Linked DNA regions of Caenorhabditis elegans. The protein of the gene in region 2 purifies or fractionates together with the protein of the main gene of each other region. This does not show direct contact. Each region holds a gene or a part of one and is shown on either strand. Other genes may lie near its edges. The genes, in order: sqv-5 and mig-22.

Region 1 (8,161 bases), on a different chromosome or scaffold from region 2:
AAATTCAAAACCATTTGAGAGTAGCTGAAAAGAATCGCTAGTTCCAGTGGACCCAAGTTCTCACTAAATCATCATTTTTCTCTGAATTACGTTTAAAAAAACGTCGTAATCTCATTTACGAAAATTCAAGGAAAACCCTAATTTGACTATTTTCAGTTGTGTTCGTCGTTGGTATGCAGCCCGTAAAGGTTCAATGGAAGGATCATCATGTCCACTTTGTCGTGCTCCTTGGACTGGTCGTGCCGGTGTTCTGATGATGACAACAATTCAGAAAAATGTGAAGAAAGCCGGTATAACATCAGCAAACACTTCATCCGATTCATCTTTGCCTTCTACTTCGAGTCTCCCAAACAATTGATCTTAATTTCGGTTATTCCTCCCATATTGTACCAAGATTCTCATTCATTCTTATATTTTATAGTTGTGTGCGTTATCATGTGGTTATTTAAATTATACTTACTTTTTTGTCAAATTGATGTCTTACATGACAACTTGTAAAGTATTGATTCCACAATTGTTCATTACTACACTCTGCAATCAATTAATTTATTTCGAGTAAGCACAGAACACCGATGCTTGTTGTAGTTGGGGGAAGAGAAATGGCAACAGAATGGACAAAATGATGATGGTGAGACAATTGTGTAAAGCTAGAAACAATCAAAGATTTGATGGAAATCTCATATTAATATGAAAGAAAACAATTGAATTAAGGAATTTAAAGCGAAGAACAATCAATAATGTTTTAAGTGAAATAAACATTTGAACAATGAAAGGCTGAGCTTTATAGGGGAGCATGGGACAATTACTCGTTTCAAAATAGGTCATTAACTGAACTATTATATTATTTGACATGAACTGAATTAATTAATTTGAAATTTGAACTTCAAATGGGGGCAAGCTCCGTGTGCTTCTTGTGAAAATGGCAATGTTAGGAAATTATGATGGAAAATGGTAAAACTCAACCGGGGAATAGAAAATATATAATAATCGTGATTAATCAAATGGATGCAATAAAGGAATTTTGGGGGAAAAGTGAGTGTGAGAAGTGGATAAAACAAATCAAAGAAACAATAATTACCCGGATGAAAACTGAGGGACAACCGTATTCATAAAAACGGAAAGAATTCGAAAATTGAGAAAGAAAAAACGGGAAGATAGAGGTGGAAAACCGGCAAGGCTATCATGTGTACTGGGCAATCTGCTCGACAAGTGTATCAATTGAAGCAAGACTTGCTGCTTTTGAACCATGGCACATATCCTTTTGAGCAGTTGGCATATTTTCATCGCAATGAATTGGGTGATAGATGTGAACAAGTCCAGGTTCAGGGACTCGAATCACTCGGAGACGACCGTTTTTGATTGCCTGAAAAATTTGGAGTTTGTTAAGAAAATACAATGTTGTGTACAGGTAAGAAATCAAAAAAAATTACAAAAAATACTCAAAACTTCTTCAACTTCGGAGACGCTCTAAATTAGGAATATTCAGAAAATTGAATTTTGTAGGTTTTATGGATTATCCCTCGGGGCCTGCCGGTTTTTTGCATTGACTCAAAAATAAATCAAAAAAACTTTAAAAACTATTTTTGGGGTTTTGCAAAAAGAAGAAAGTTGAATTTCTGTAACATGCGTATTTAATTCTGCATGGAAAATTTTTCGAAAAAAATGGAAAAAATTTTAAAAAACTACAAACTCCCAGTTTTTATTTTGTCAAAATGAAGTCGCAGAAAATATTTCTAAAAGAGATATTTCAGAGAAGCTTCAAATTTATTCTAAACATAAAAAAAGATTTTTGTAGGTTTTACAGATCATTCTTTAGACACACTGAAAAGTGGATGTTTGCGATTTTTTGAATTTGCATTCCTGGTCTTGTGTATTACCTTCTCAAACAAGTCAACATCTTCCTTTCCCCATCCTTCGATCTTTGTGTCAAACCCTCCGACATCCATCAAATCCGCCTGAAATTAAAAATTTATTGAAGAAAAAATATTTTCTCAAAATATCTTACCTTGTACATCGCTGCGAGACCATAACCAAAATGTCTAAAATATCCACGTCCACGTCCATAATGGAAGGCGTCAGCCAATAACTTGTCATTTTCAGACCAACTCTCATGTGAGAATTCAGAAAAAACGATCGGGAAGTAGATTTGTGCGTTGAGAATTGTATTCGATTTTATACGTTTCAATGCATCACATGTGAATAGCATATCAACATCAGTAAAGAATAGAAGAGCATTGGCTGGAAGAGTTTCAGCTCCACGCATAAGAGCAACACCACGTGAGAATGAAACATCACCCATTTCGATTACTGTTACTGGGATGAAGCTTGCACGGAGCATTTCAATCGTTTCTCTGTAAATTATAAAATATCCCAATTGGGTTTTAAAAATTTCTTCTAGAGCTCAAAGTTTTTGAGATCCAATTAGACCAAAAATTATTCTTTCTTTCGAATCAATTAAATTTTGTTCGATATTTGTAAACACATTCATTTTTGATTTATAAATTGGATTTTCATTCCGAAATAGGTAGATTTTAAAATTTCCAAAACTTACCTATTCTCCATTTCATCTTCACTCGAGTATAATACAATTGTCAATGAAACAGCTAAATCATCTCCTCCTCTCGCACAAATACTCTTCAAATGTTGAGCAAATCTTGCAAATATGGCAGCTCTTCCTCTTAATGGCATAATCATATGCAATGTTGGATCTTCAATAAGTGTAGAGTTTGCTCTCATATTTGATCGGAACACTCCTTCAGAGAGACTTCGAAGTTTTCCGAATGTTTGTTGAACATACGCGTGTCTTCGAACGGAAATTGTTGTTCTGTTTGGTGGACGGAACTTTTTGAACCAAAGTAACATGTCAAGAACATAATCGACTCCTTTTGTAGGTTCAACACGCATGTATCCATATTGAAGACTTTGAAATTGAAGAACACGACCTCTTTGGCGAGCATTTGTGTTGAACTCGTCGAATAACTGAAAATGGGATAGTTTTTTGGAAAAATTATTTACTCGAATGTTTTTGCGAATTTTGCTTTAAAAATACGGAACTCAGTCTCGACACGGCCGATTTTATAGCGTAAAAGAGTGTGCGCCTTTAAGAAGTACTGTAGCATCCAGAAAATTTGGAAATAGACATACGAAAATTTTTGAGTTTCCGATTTTCCGAAAATTCGAAAAAAGCATTTAAAAATTTCAATACTTGATCTGAATTTTGAACAAACCTGTGTGATAGTGTCGGCCATTTCCGTCCGAATACTCAAATCTACAGTATGCCGAGGACAATTGACCCGATCCGCACAAAACAGAATTTTATTGTTATTAATATATTCCCATGGTGTCAAATCATTCGTTCTATTCGGTGTCATTCGTACCAATGTCTGTGCTTTTGCAGTACTGAGCTCCGAACTCAAAAGACTTCGTTTAGCTCGTGCTTCACGAAGTTTAATTTCTCGATTTCGAAGATGAACCTTCCTCATTACAGCTGGATCTTTAATCGGATGAAGAGTAATTGCATCTTTCAATTCTTTCATATTTTTTGCATATGACTCCTTGATTGCACTTTGATTATTATGGAACAACTTTTGCATTTCATAATTCCACGTGCAAGCTACACCGACATGTTTTCGAATACACCGCCCGAGTTCGACGTCCTCGTGAGAAGTCAGCATGTGTTGGAGGCATGATTCGAGATGAGGAGATACTTTTCTGAAAAATATATAATATTATAATTGTTATCACTGAAAGAGAGAAAAGGTTTGAGTTTTTCATCAAATAGATTAAAACTGCCCCGAAACAGTCGAATTTCATAGTGAGAATTCTCAAAAAATTTCCAAATTTTGCTCAAATCTTAAATTTCATCAATTTGTCCCTGTTGTAGAAGCTGAAATATAGTTGTTATCAAAAATCTTTTTTTCTTGCATATTTTAACTATAAATTCGATTTGTGACTAAATCGTCGAATTAGTGCGAGATAAACTACCAAATTACTCAATGAAAGAGTGATAATTTAATAAAACTGTATTTCAGCAGCTGCAACAAGGAAAAATGACGAAATTTTAGATTTTAGCAAAAATTTGGAAATTTGTTGAGAAGTCAGTTTCAGTTATTTTGACAAAACCCCCACAAATTCTCTTAAAAACAACGTACAATAAGGTGTCCCTGCTCATAACAATTCCAGGTCCTCCCATACAATAATTATCGGTAGATCCAAGAGCTAGAAGACCATATTCCGCACTGTTACCAAGTCCAGCCTGTCCGATGATATGAGCTTTGGATGAATCGACAGATCTTAGGAATAAAGCGAGCTCTTCTCCTCTAATGTAGAGGTCGTCGTCTGCTCGCAAGAACCAATCATATTCATCAGCCATATTCTCTGCCAACCATTTTACCATTGCGAAACTTTTCTTCTGTGGTGGATAAGTATCATCAACTCCTTTCAGACGAATTAATGGCATATCCTCATGCACTGATTCAGTTCCTTCGGCAACAAATATTAAAACTCGTCCGGGAATGTGTTGAGCCCATGTTTTCCAAACATTATAAGCACGTGTATCAACGTATTTTGCAGCAGTCATAATAGCCACAAGAATCAGACCCCTTCGATGACCGGGAAGACTTTGGGATCTTGTGAAAACATCAGCATCAGCACGTTGACTTATCACATCGAGATAATCGAAACCGCCAATTTGTTGTTCTGGGCCACAGATTATTGGATTTGTCAGAGATTTGAGAGCCGTCAGATAGTAAGTGATTGAGAAACCAAACAGGATTCCGAGTAGGATTGTGACGGTGGCTCGGGAGACCGGCATTCTGCATGTGCTCCGCTGAAACTGACAATAGATTAAACAATGTGAGCATTTTAATTTTTATAAAACTTTTAGTTTATTCAAATCTGAAATAAAAAATTTTCCCAGAAATTTCAGAGATTTTAGGAATTTTATTTTTTTCTGTAACAAAAAAAAAACCTAAAACACTCTATTTTCGGTTTAAAAAAAAGTTTGCGCCTTTAAAGAGTACTGTAGTTCTCATCTTCTCACTGCGGAATTTTCTTCGATGTTTTATTAATTGTTGAAAAAAAAAGAAGAAAATTTGGAGGGTGAAACTTATGAGACATCAAAGAAAGTTTTTTCGAGCAGTTGGGAACTACAGTACTCCTTTAAAGCGCACACTATTTTTGGATTTTAAATTTTACGAGTTTTCGAAAAAAATCACTTCAAATTTTGGGCTTTTTTCCTCGTATCAAATTATTTTTTGTTAAAATTTGAAATGTTTTTATTATTTTAAAATTTTTTTTCGATTTTCCGAATAATCAAAAACTGGATTTCAATTTAAAAAATTTTAAGCAGAAATTTACAATTTTTCGATTAGCTCTAGAAAAACAGAAAAATTGAACAGTTTTAAAAAAACTGGAGACTACAGTACTCCTTAAAGGAGCACACTCTTTTACATTTGAGAAAATCGGTCGCTTCGAAACCGGGTACCGTATTTCTTGGAACAAAAATGACGAATTTTCAGATCTGGGAATTTTTATAGAAGAAAAAACAGGCTTTTATTTTAATTTTTCGACAATCACGTAAACTCAGGCCTATTGTTGACCAAAATTTGTTCATTATGAAGAAACTGGTGTCATTCATCTGCTGACCCCGTTATGCATAAATGAATCATATTTCTTTTGATTTTAGAATTATATCAAAAAATGACTCACCACTCGCATACTCTCTTCCGTGTCTTCTCGATTACCGGATGAGTCGTCGAGCAAGAGTGTCTGCGTCTCCTCGTCCGCCGCCTTCTCTCCTCCTCCGATCCAAAATCGACTGATGATGGTTCTCACTGTTATTTTTGTTATTTTCTGTGTTTTTTCTGCTGAACGTTTGCACTGGATAGTGTGGTGTGTTCGTCAGGTGTTTTGTTGTTGCTGATGATGTTGGTGGTCGTAGTGAGATGATTGTGATGAACTTCTCGTGGATTTGATGAAGATGATTAACACTGAGAAGATGAGCAGGTGGCGACATATAATTGCACGTCAGATGGCACTCTGATTCATTGATTTTCGTCGCGAATCGCACCGCACCGCCGCTCCTCGTGTTGGAACTTTGAGCAGAAAGCTGCAAAAAATACACATGAAAATTAAAAATAATAAATATATATGAAGAAGTATACGAAGAGAATTCTAGAAAAAAAAATTTAATTTCAATATGTCTATCAAATTATAAAACATCTTGTCAATTTATTCAAATTTTTAGAAAATTTAATTCGAAAAAAAAATTTCTTCAGAATTTTTTTGTTGTAAAATTGATATTATAAGAATTTCAGATTTTTTAAAATTTTGTCTAAATCAAAAACTCAACTTTTGAAAAAAAAAATCCAATAATATCTGAGTTTTTAAAGTGAATATCGACAAAACATAGACCAAGACGATATGAAAAACAATACAACGGTTGGCATGAGAAAACACACAAAGAGCAAGGAGCAAGAAAAAAACAGATCGCAGCCACCTAGTCTATGTGAAAATGTTTTTTTTTCTTTCATTTTTGCAGAAACGGAATCAGCGAAACAAAGGAATGAAAATAAGGCTAGTAACGGATGGGAAAGACAGTGAATTAGCACTTGAAAGATCGTAAGAAACACAGAGGCCCAACAATTAAAGTGACGGCGACGAGCGGTACGCGAAAATTCATGAAATTCCGAGGCACGAGAAAAAGAATAAAACTCACTTCCCCTTTCGATTATGAATGATTGCGACATTTCCGATGAAGAGAAAGGCAAGAAAATTGGCCGATTTCTTTGAGAATTTATGGAAATATTCGATTTTAATGGTTTCTAACATAAAAAAGCGAAGCATTCTTTGGAATTGCATATTAACTAAAATTATGGTATCTTGTGGACAGCCGATAATGATTTGATTAAGAAAAGAAACACGAAAATGAGGAAATTAGTTAGAGCTAATTTCAAAACCTTAGTTTTGTAAACCAGGATTTTTACGATTTTTTCGATTTTTCGGTAAAAATTCAAATTTCCCATAATTTCTCTGTTAGAAAATGTTGATAATCAAAATATACATCTTTTCTTGATAAATTCATAATTTTCACCTAGTTTGTTCTTTTTTTTTCGATAAATCAAAGAGAAAATTGGATTTTTTCAGTAAGCCAAGATGAAACTAGACTTATTTTTGGAGTAATAGTGAAAGTTCAACTTTTTCACACAGAAAAAAAAGTTCAAGCCGGACAATCGCGCGCCACCTATTATATAAATTTGTCCAAACCCTCTTAAGACATTTTGTCTGAAATTTAAACTGGTTAATAGGTTAGCAACCGATGGCCTCTTAAAATAGAAAGTTGGCAACACAAAAAATTTTCGAGGGGTCGAAACAAAAACTACTGTTTTCAGTTTCACTCGCCGCCAAAATGTTCGATACTGATGTAGATACTTCAAGATGAGAGCGTGAAAATAGGCGGAACAAAAGGTGATCACAAGGTGGGAGAATGTACCCACTAACAACACATACTCAATAGCTATCTATCAAATCTTGACTGAAAAATAACAAAAACACACATAAAAATGGGTAGATATATATTAGAGAGTAGAGAGAGAGAGAGGGATAGTTGATAACTTTTCGAACCGCAAAACATGTGTGAAACTTTGACACGTTCTCACTTTCTCATCAGCCCATAAAATCCAACACTTGGGTGGTATACTGAATGGATAAAGGAAAAGGTATTGAGAGAGAGAGAGTGAGAGTGATTGAAACATATGATTTTGTGAAAAAAAAAATGTGTCGGAAGGTGTCAGGATGAACTCTTTCTTAGCAGGTTATCTTGAGTGACCGATATCTATATAAAATTCTCCAGAATTTATAGTTTTGGATACTTTGTTCCAAACTATTAAAACAAATAAACCTTCTGAATTTTAAGGTGTCGCATGTTAGGATTTAATTGGAAATTACTCTTAGCAGCTCCTACAGAAGGGTTTAATTTGGGATTTTTAACATTCGAAACGAAAAATCCGGAAAGAATTTTTGCAATATTTCAATAACATAAAAATTAATTTCAAAAAAATTAAAAATATTTTAATACCACTTTTTTCAAAAAAATAATGTGAAAGAGATTTCGATGTTTTAGTCGTCAATCCTTGATTTGTGTGCTATACCTCCTGATAAA
Region 2 (6,478 bases):
TTTGTTAAAATTTCTATCGCTGCAATTTTTTAAACAAAAGTGAAGTTTTTCAAAAAGAAATGAACAAATATTTTTCCGTTCGCAACTATTTTCAACACATGTGCGCAGTCTAGAAAACAACAGAAAACAAAAAATATATACGAAATCGTAGGAAATGCAAAGAACGATGATTGTAAGAGAAGGACAGGAGAGCAAAATGGTTTTCTTATCATTCCAGAGGTTTTTTCTCACTTTTACAGTGCATATTATGCACGTTGTCGTTCTGCGGGCAGAAATGAACATAGAAAATTAAAAAAAAACATAATAAATTGAAGAGTTAAACTTAAAATGGAGAATTTCCGAAAAGAAAAATCGATTTCGAAAACATCTTTACCGTAGTTTCCATCAAAGACGCAATCTACATCTTGGGCGCGCGGGTCTCACCACGTCTTTTAAAAATTACCGTATCCACCTCAAATTTTCAAATAATAATTATAATTCCGTTCTTTCAAAGGAAAATTTGAGATTTTAATGCGAAATGTCCTTAAAAAGAAAAAAAAAGAAAATGTAGTAAAATATTAAGTTTTGCGACAATTTAAAAAAGAATAGCCCAACTTCCTTTTAAACAAAATATTTTGTTTTAAAATCATGTTGCAAGGCCTGCGAAATTTGATTTTTTTTGACAAGCACTGTTCTTCAAGAAAATCAAAACAAAAATTTATGATTAAAAATCACAGATATTCATAAATTATAGAAAAAGTGGACGGGTCGAGATAGTATGTACTTTGTTTAGTGAATTAAAAAATGTGGCACAATTTAACATAAACTGTAAAAAATGAATTATTTGACGACGGGGATAAAGCATCGGGTTGTGGCAAGCGGGCTAAAAATTATTTAATGAAAAACCGCCGGGATTATCGTATTCACATGAAAAGAAAATGTTATGCTCGGAGCAAGAGGGCAAAGTGAAAATTGTAGTGCAATAGGAAGGTGAGAAAGGGAAAATAGGAAACCGTATTTGCAGAAATATCATGGACAAGTTGGGAGTAGAAGGGTGTTCATTTTTCGTGGAATAACAATTTTGCCAACTGATCCTTCGCCGCCACGTTTTCCTTTTTACTGTCCAGGCAACGAGCGATATCTTCGGTGTCGATGCTTTCCATGTCACAGCTTCTTTTGTGATATCTGTAAGTAATTCATTAATTAATAACACTGGAACAACACAAAATTTGGCGATCTTACCGAATTCGGAGAGTTGGCTCAACAGCCCTAAGTACATGTATAGAATCTTGTCCCAAGAACGCAGAAATCAAGTCGTTCCGTCTCTCATTTTGACCGAATTTAGCTCTTGCTGTCACATAATCCACACCATAAACGGCGAAACAAGAGAAATCTTGAGAATCAAATCGTCCATGTTCTTTTTGTACAATCAATGTTCTTTTCCTTTTTGGTTCAACTCCATCTCTTAATCGTGATAAAGCAGCTTCACGAGCTTGTTCTGTCGGCGTCTCTTTTTCTTCTTTTTCTGTCATTTCCATTCCAGAGATTGTCGGATGATATTCAACAAATGGAACTGGGAAGAAAACTTGATAATGTTTAATCGTATTGATACGAGCTCGATCAAAGAACTCTTTTTGAACATCTGCATGTGGAGAAAGTAGAAGATAGATTGTATTGGCTCCGTATCGATCCACAGCATCATCCAACGCAGCAGCAGCAGCTGTTCCCTTTCCTTCTGTACTAACAGCAGGATGTACTGGAAGAACATCTGTTTCCAAAAGTGATCGCTTGCATCGTCGCTTTAATTCTTCCATATCATTAGTGATAGCAGTCACTGAACGAGATTCGATTAATGGGAAAACGGCTACAACCATTCGAGTTTTACGGGCTTCTTCTGTGGGGAAGAGACAGAGGCGAGCTTGTCTGGCAAGAAGTTTCCGGGCTGGGAGAACCTACAATATATACATATTTTCAATTTGTTTATATCAAAACAATTAAAAATGGGAACCAATTTTTTTTTGAAAAACCTTTAGAAAAACACTTTTTGTATGTTCAACAATATATAAGTTCTAATCAAAGATGTTGATTTTCGATTTTACACTAAAATATTTCGAAAATAGCTTTAAATTTTGGATATTTTTTAAAAATAATAAAAGTATATTTTTCTCATGATTTTTCTATCAACATAAACAATTTTTTTTAAAATTGAGTTTTTGTTAAAACATTTTTTTTATTTTTGAAAAATCGAAATTTTATAAACATTTTTCGACAATCCCTTCTCTTTGTGGTTTTCAATTTTATAAAACTAACGTCTTTTTCACTAGCAACTGGAATAACGACAGTGACATCTGTGTCTTCTTTCACATATGGTGCCTGGTTCATAAGCTGCGTACTTGCAATCATTCGACTAACGTGCACTCTTCTTTCCACAACAATCTCTTTGAGACTTTCCTCATGTGCAGCCTGAGATTGTAAACAAATTTATAAACTTTCAGAAAATCTGTTTCAGATTTAGATTTAGATATTCTAGAACTTTTATTTACCTCATTATCACTTTCAAATCGATTATCAACTTCAGGCATTTCATTGACAGTCTTTCGATATGTCAAATCAACCATATAATCCATTCCTCTCCGTGGATCAAAAACTCGATATCCATTTCTCAATTGAACAAATTCAAGCTCTGGTTCTTCTGATTCAACTTGCTGCCGAGCAGCCACCACAACTTCAGCAACATCATCGAAATCTTTTCCTTCAAGACGTCGAACATTTTGATTAGGTTCACTTCGAAAGAGTTCAGTCATCGTAAAGTACTCCCAAGTCGAAACTTGATACCGATTTGGTGGTTTTGCATACGGTGGAAGTGCTGGTGGCCAGCTGATAGCTTCTCCTGTTTCACGAGCTTCTTGCTCAGCCAGACGAGAAAGTTCAGCTTCCATTTTGATAATTTCTCGATCAGCTCTTTGCATTTCAACTCGAACGAAATAATCATGAAGTGCAGATGCATCTGCATCAGAAAGTAATCTTGGCACAGCAAGAGCTCTCTTAAATGCTGGTGAATGTTTCCAGTCCTCAATCGAGTCATGAGCAGCTGGCGAATCAGCTCTCTCGGCTCCTCGCCAAACTTCATAACGAACTCCTTGATGAAGCGGCTTACATGTCAAATTTGTTGCGATTTGAATGCACTTTTCAAATGCGAGTTGATCGTCATCGGCTGCCAGTGCGAAATTGTTGCAAGCATTCCGATTGCTGAAAATATTCAGTTTAAAACACTTTTCAGTTTATCATAATGTGAAAATTTTGATTTAAAGCTTACTTCATCAGAGCATGCATTGCTGGCTGACTGAGCAACATTCCAGTATCCAATCGGCATCGTCCACTTCCATCTTCAGCTGCTTCACCCATCACAACTGGTTCATTCCAATTCATCTGACAATTAACAACTATTTTACAAAAACAATTACTGGATAAAATACCGTATCAATCATTCTGAGCAAAACGAATGGGTTGATATACGTCGAATCTTTGGCAAGTAGAAACCAGTCATAGTTGTTGTGGACTGTCTGAAAACATTTTATTTTTAATCAGGAAATGCAACTCCGACAGGAAGAAGCCAAAAAGAACAATTGAGATACTCTGAACAGGGGAATTTTTACACCAAAATCGACTTTACAACATGGGGTAAACTTACTGAAAAACATTCAATTGACAATTATAATTGATTCTGAAATAGTTTTATGACTTTTTTTTTTGAAATACGAGTAGTTGACAACTACATAAAAAAACATTTTTGAACAACTCAACTAACCATATTGAAAAGGAGACCCAAAACCATCGAATGCGTCTTTTGTCCGTTTAGTTTATATGGACTCAAATTGGTTAACTGGGCCAAGTCATTGTCGATTCTTGAAGAGTCAGCAAACAAATGTACACGTGGAACATGGCGCCCAAGAGTTGCATTAATAGAAAGAGCCAATGCAGACTCAGCCATCACTGCGGCCATAACTCGTTCACGTGTACCGAGTTCAGTGGCTGCAAATCGAGTTCTTGTAACCTTTGGAGTAGCGTCTTGATTATGAGGAGGCGCTGGCATATCGTCTTGGTGAACCTAAATTTGATTCTTTCATGAAATTTTGTGTTTTTTTTAAAGCTACTCACAATCCAATGCTCAGATAAATCTTTATATACTCGCCCTTTCTCCAGTGCCGATGGTTCAAGAACATTCGTTTCTGTTTCTTGATTCTGACATGATGTAAATGCAGCCAATGAGCTGGTCAAGTCTATACTTGGTGTGGATGAAAAGAAGAAGAGCGCGAGAGCGGCACCTATAAGGAATCCAAGAAGCAAGTGTATGCCTGTTCGACCGCCGCCGACCATTCTTCGATTCTAAAAAAGGAATAGAGAATTATTAAACTTTTTTTCAAAGCCGGTGAAAAACGTACCAAACAGTCAGCAATACGCCTTGATACAATTCCAATAACGAAGTTTTCTTGTGAAGAAGCTCTGAAAATTTACAATAAGAAAGTGAAGTGAACAAGAGCAAATAGTGATGTTTGAGCATGAATGAGCAGAACACAGGTTAACTGATCAAAGAAAAGCGTGAAAAGACAATACGGGTTTATGAATGAATGCAAAACAGTCGTCATAGAAGATGTGTGTGACAATGCTCGTAAAATGATTGCAGGACATGTGAGTGGAGCGACAACCTTCTTCGGTATGCGATGCAGACGGAAGACAAAAAAAACGAGAAGAGGCTGTGATCGACGCCGACGTTGTAAGAAGGTGTTTGAAGAGATAGTCTTGAGTTGAAAGAGACGCAGACATTATGTTCTGTACTTGACCTGACTAACTAAGGTCATTTTAGAAAATTTAATGTTCGAGGACAGTGAAACCGTTAATAACATGCTATTTTGAGAATGTTTTTCTAATTTCTTAATTTTCAAGATTTTATCTCAATTTTAATTGAATTAGGAAATTAAGTTCGAAATATGACAGATAATTCGTGGGAATAATTAAAATAACATATACATTGGAATTATGAATATCTTTTTAGTAGTTTTAGAATGAACATCTAATAACAATCAAATATAGGAAAATCCGAAATAAGATTTTGAATTTAACGGAATTTTGATAAATTTTATTGGTTTGAATCAATAAAATTGTAGAAATAAAGTGGTTTTTTGCAGTGAAACTTAAAAAATAAAAATAAACCGATGACAAGAGAAAAGCGAGAGAAACACTGAGTAAACTGTGCGGCGTGTTTGCGGAAATCGCGTGCCAGGCTTGCAACAGTGCGCGATTCAACTCCGCCCACAAAAAATGCAATTTTATTTTTGCTTTTCCATATTTAACAGTTGTTTTGAGCCCGTTTTTATTTGTAAAATGTATATACTATGTTTAAATCTTTTCGTTGAACATTTAATATTGAATTTTTAAAAATAACTCATATTTTGCTCAATCGATAAACCAAAATTATAGAAAATGCTTCGTTCACTTTCCACGATCTCCAAGTCTACCGTCCGCTGTATGTCATTGACATCCAAAATGGCTGCTGAGCAACCGAGCAAGCAAGAGGTAAGTTGAAAAACAGCGAATTGTGCAATTATGAAATTTTTGTCTGTTTCAGGTTGATGACTTGTTCGCTGAAAAACCACAACATCATAACCCAGAACAAAGACGGCATGCATACAGGTATGATATGAGTTTTACACAAATGTTAAACTTGCATTTTTCTGAACTAGGAGATTAATAATTTGTATCAAAGTTCCTGCTAGAAAAAATAAAATGTCACAATTTTCAAAAGCACAAACGCAACGATTGACAATAAAAATTACTTATTAAAAAGTCGTTCGAATATTGTTGTAAAATAGCTGTGAAAGATACAATTTCAATTTTGAAAGCATAAAAAAACAAATTTTGAATTCAGATCATATCGATTCAAAATTTATTTATTATCACTATTTCAGTGTGAATAAAGTGGAACTAGTCGGAGGAGTCGCCTTGGATCCATTGTACAAGACTGGAAGGAACGGAAAACCTTACCTCATCTTCAATATCATCACCAACTCGTACTTCAAGCAGCAAGACGGAACTACTCTCGATCAAACTGAACGTCACGCCGTTTCAGTTTTCGGAAAGCAAGCCGAAATCCTTTCAAAAACCATCAAGAAAGGATCCCGTCTTATGGTTCAGGGGAGACTTCATTATTCTGGAGGACAGAAGGACGAACAAGGAAACCGTACACAACGCAACACCTACATCATCGCTCAAACTGTTCAACCATTGGCTCGAGCAGCTAGAGAGAATCCAGATCAACATTAATTTTCAAAATTTTTTAAATATTTAGAATCTCCGATAATAGACCATTGTTGTTGTTTTTGTTGACGAGTTATTTACCTGATTAAACATTATCTCATATTTAAAAAAAAAAGTTTTATTTGATTGCATACCTGGTTTTCTAACCATATTTATTATCTGATCGTTCTTTGAAAGTTCAGCT

What was found.
Region 1: the proteins of mig-22 (region 2) and sqv-5 purify together in Caenorhabditis elegans (affinity purification with western blotting, with the first as the bait; one study listed by BioGRID). This does not show direct contact.

The regions. Positions count from the first base shown.
Region 1 is NC_003279.8:9,945,760-9,953,920, reverse strand, and holds sqv-5 (Hexosyltransferase), read right to left. Parts: upstream 6,110-8,161; 5' UTR 5,813-6,109; coding exon of another isoform or gene 5,741-5,812; 5' UTR 5,719-5,740; coding exon 5,710-5,718; intron 4,835-5,709; coding exon 4,152-4,834; intron 3,712-4,151; coding exon 3,228-3,711; intron 2,980-3,227; coding exon 2,552-2,979; intron 2,352-2,551; coding exon 2,006-2,351; intron 1,956-2,005; coding exon 1,878-1,955; intron 1,364-1,877; coding exon 1,181-1,363; 3' UTR 534-1,180; downstream 1-533. Other genes in the region: T24D1.2 (RING-type domain-containing protein), read left to right, coding at 157-358; T24D1.7 (uncharacterized protein), read right to left, coding at 5,741-5,812.
Region 2 is NC_003281.10:8,762,854-8,769,331, forward strand, and holds mig-22 (Chondroitin sulfate synthase mig-22), read right to left. Parts: upstream 4,483-6,478; 5' UTR 4,422-4,482; intron 4,366-4,421; 5' UTR 4,357-4,365; coding exon 4,138-4,356; intron 4,088-4,137; coding exon 3,788-4,087; intron 3,704-3,787; exon of another isoform or gene 3,671-3,703; intron 3,543-3,670; coding exon 3,456-3,542; intron 3,409-3,455; coding exon 3,296-3,408; intron 3,229-3,295; coding exon 2,523-3,228; intron 2,443-2,522; coding exon 2,290-2,442; intron 1,932-2,289; coding exon 1,222-1,931; intron 1,165-1,221; coding exon 1,038-1,164; 3' UTR 686-1,037; downstream 1-685. Other genes in the region: mtss-1 (Single-stranded DNA-binding protein, mitochondrial), read left to right, coding at 5,461-5,553, 5,606-5,670, 5,946-6,300. UniProt on the Caenorhabditis elegans protein: Has both beta-1,3-glucuronic acid and beta-1,4-N-acetylgalactosamine transferase activity. Transfers glucuronic acid (GlcUA) from UDP-GlcUA and N-acetylgalactosamine (GalNAc) from UDP-GalNAc to the non-reducing end of the elongating chondroitin polymer.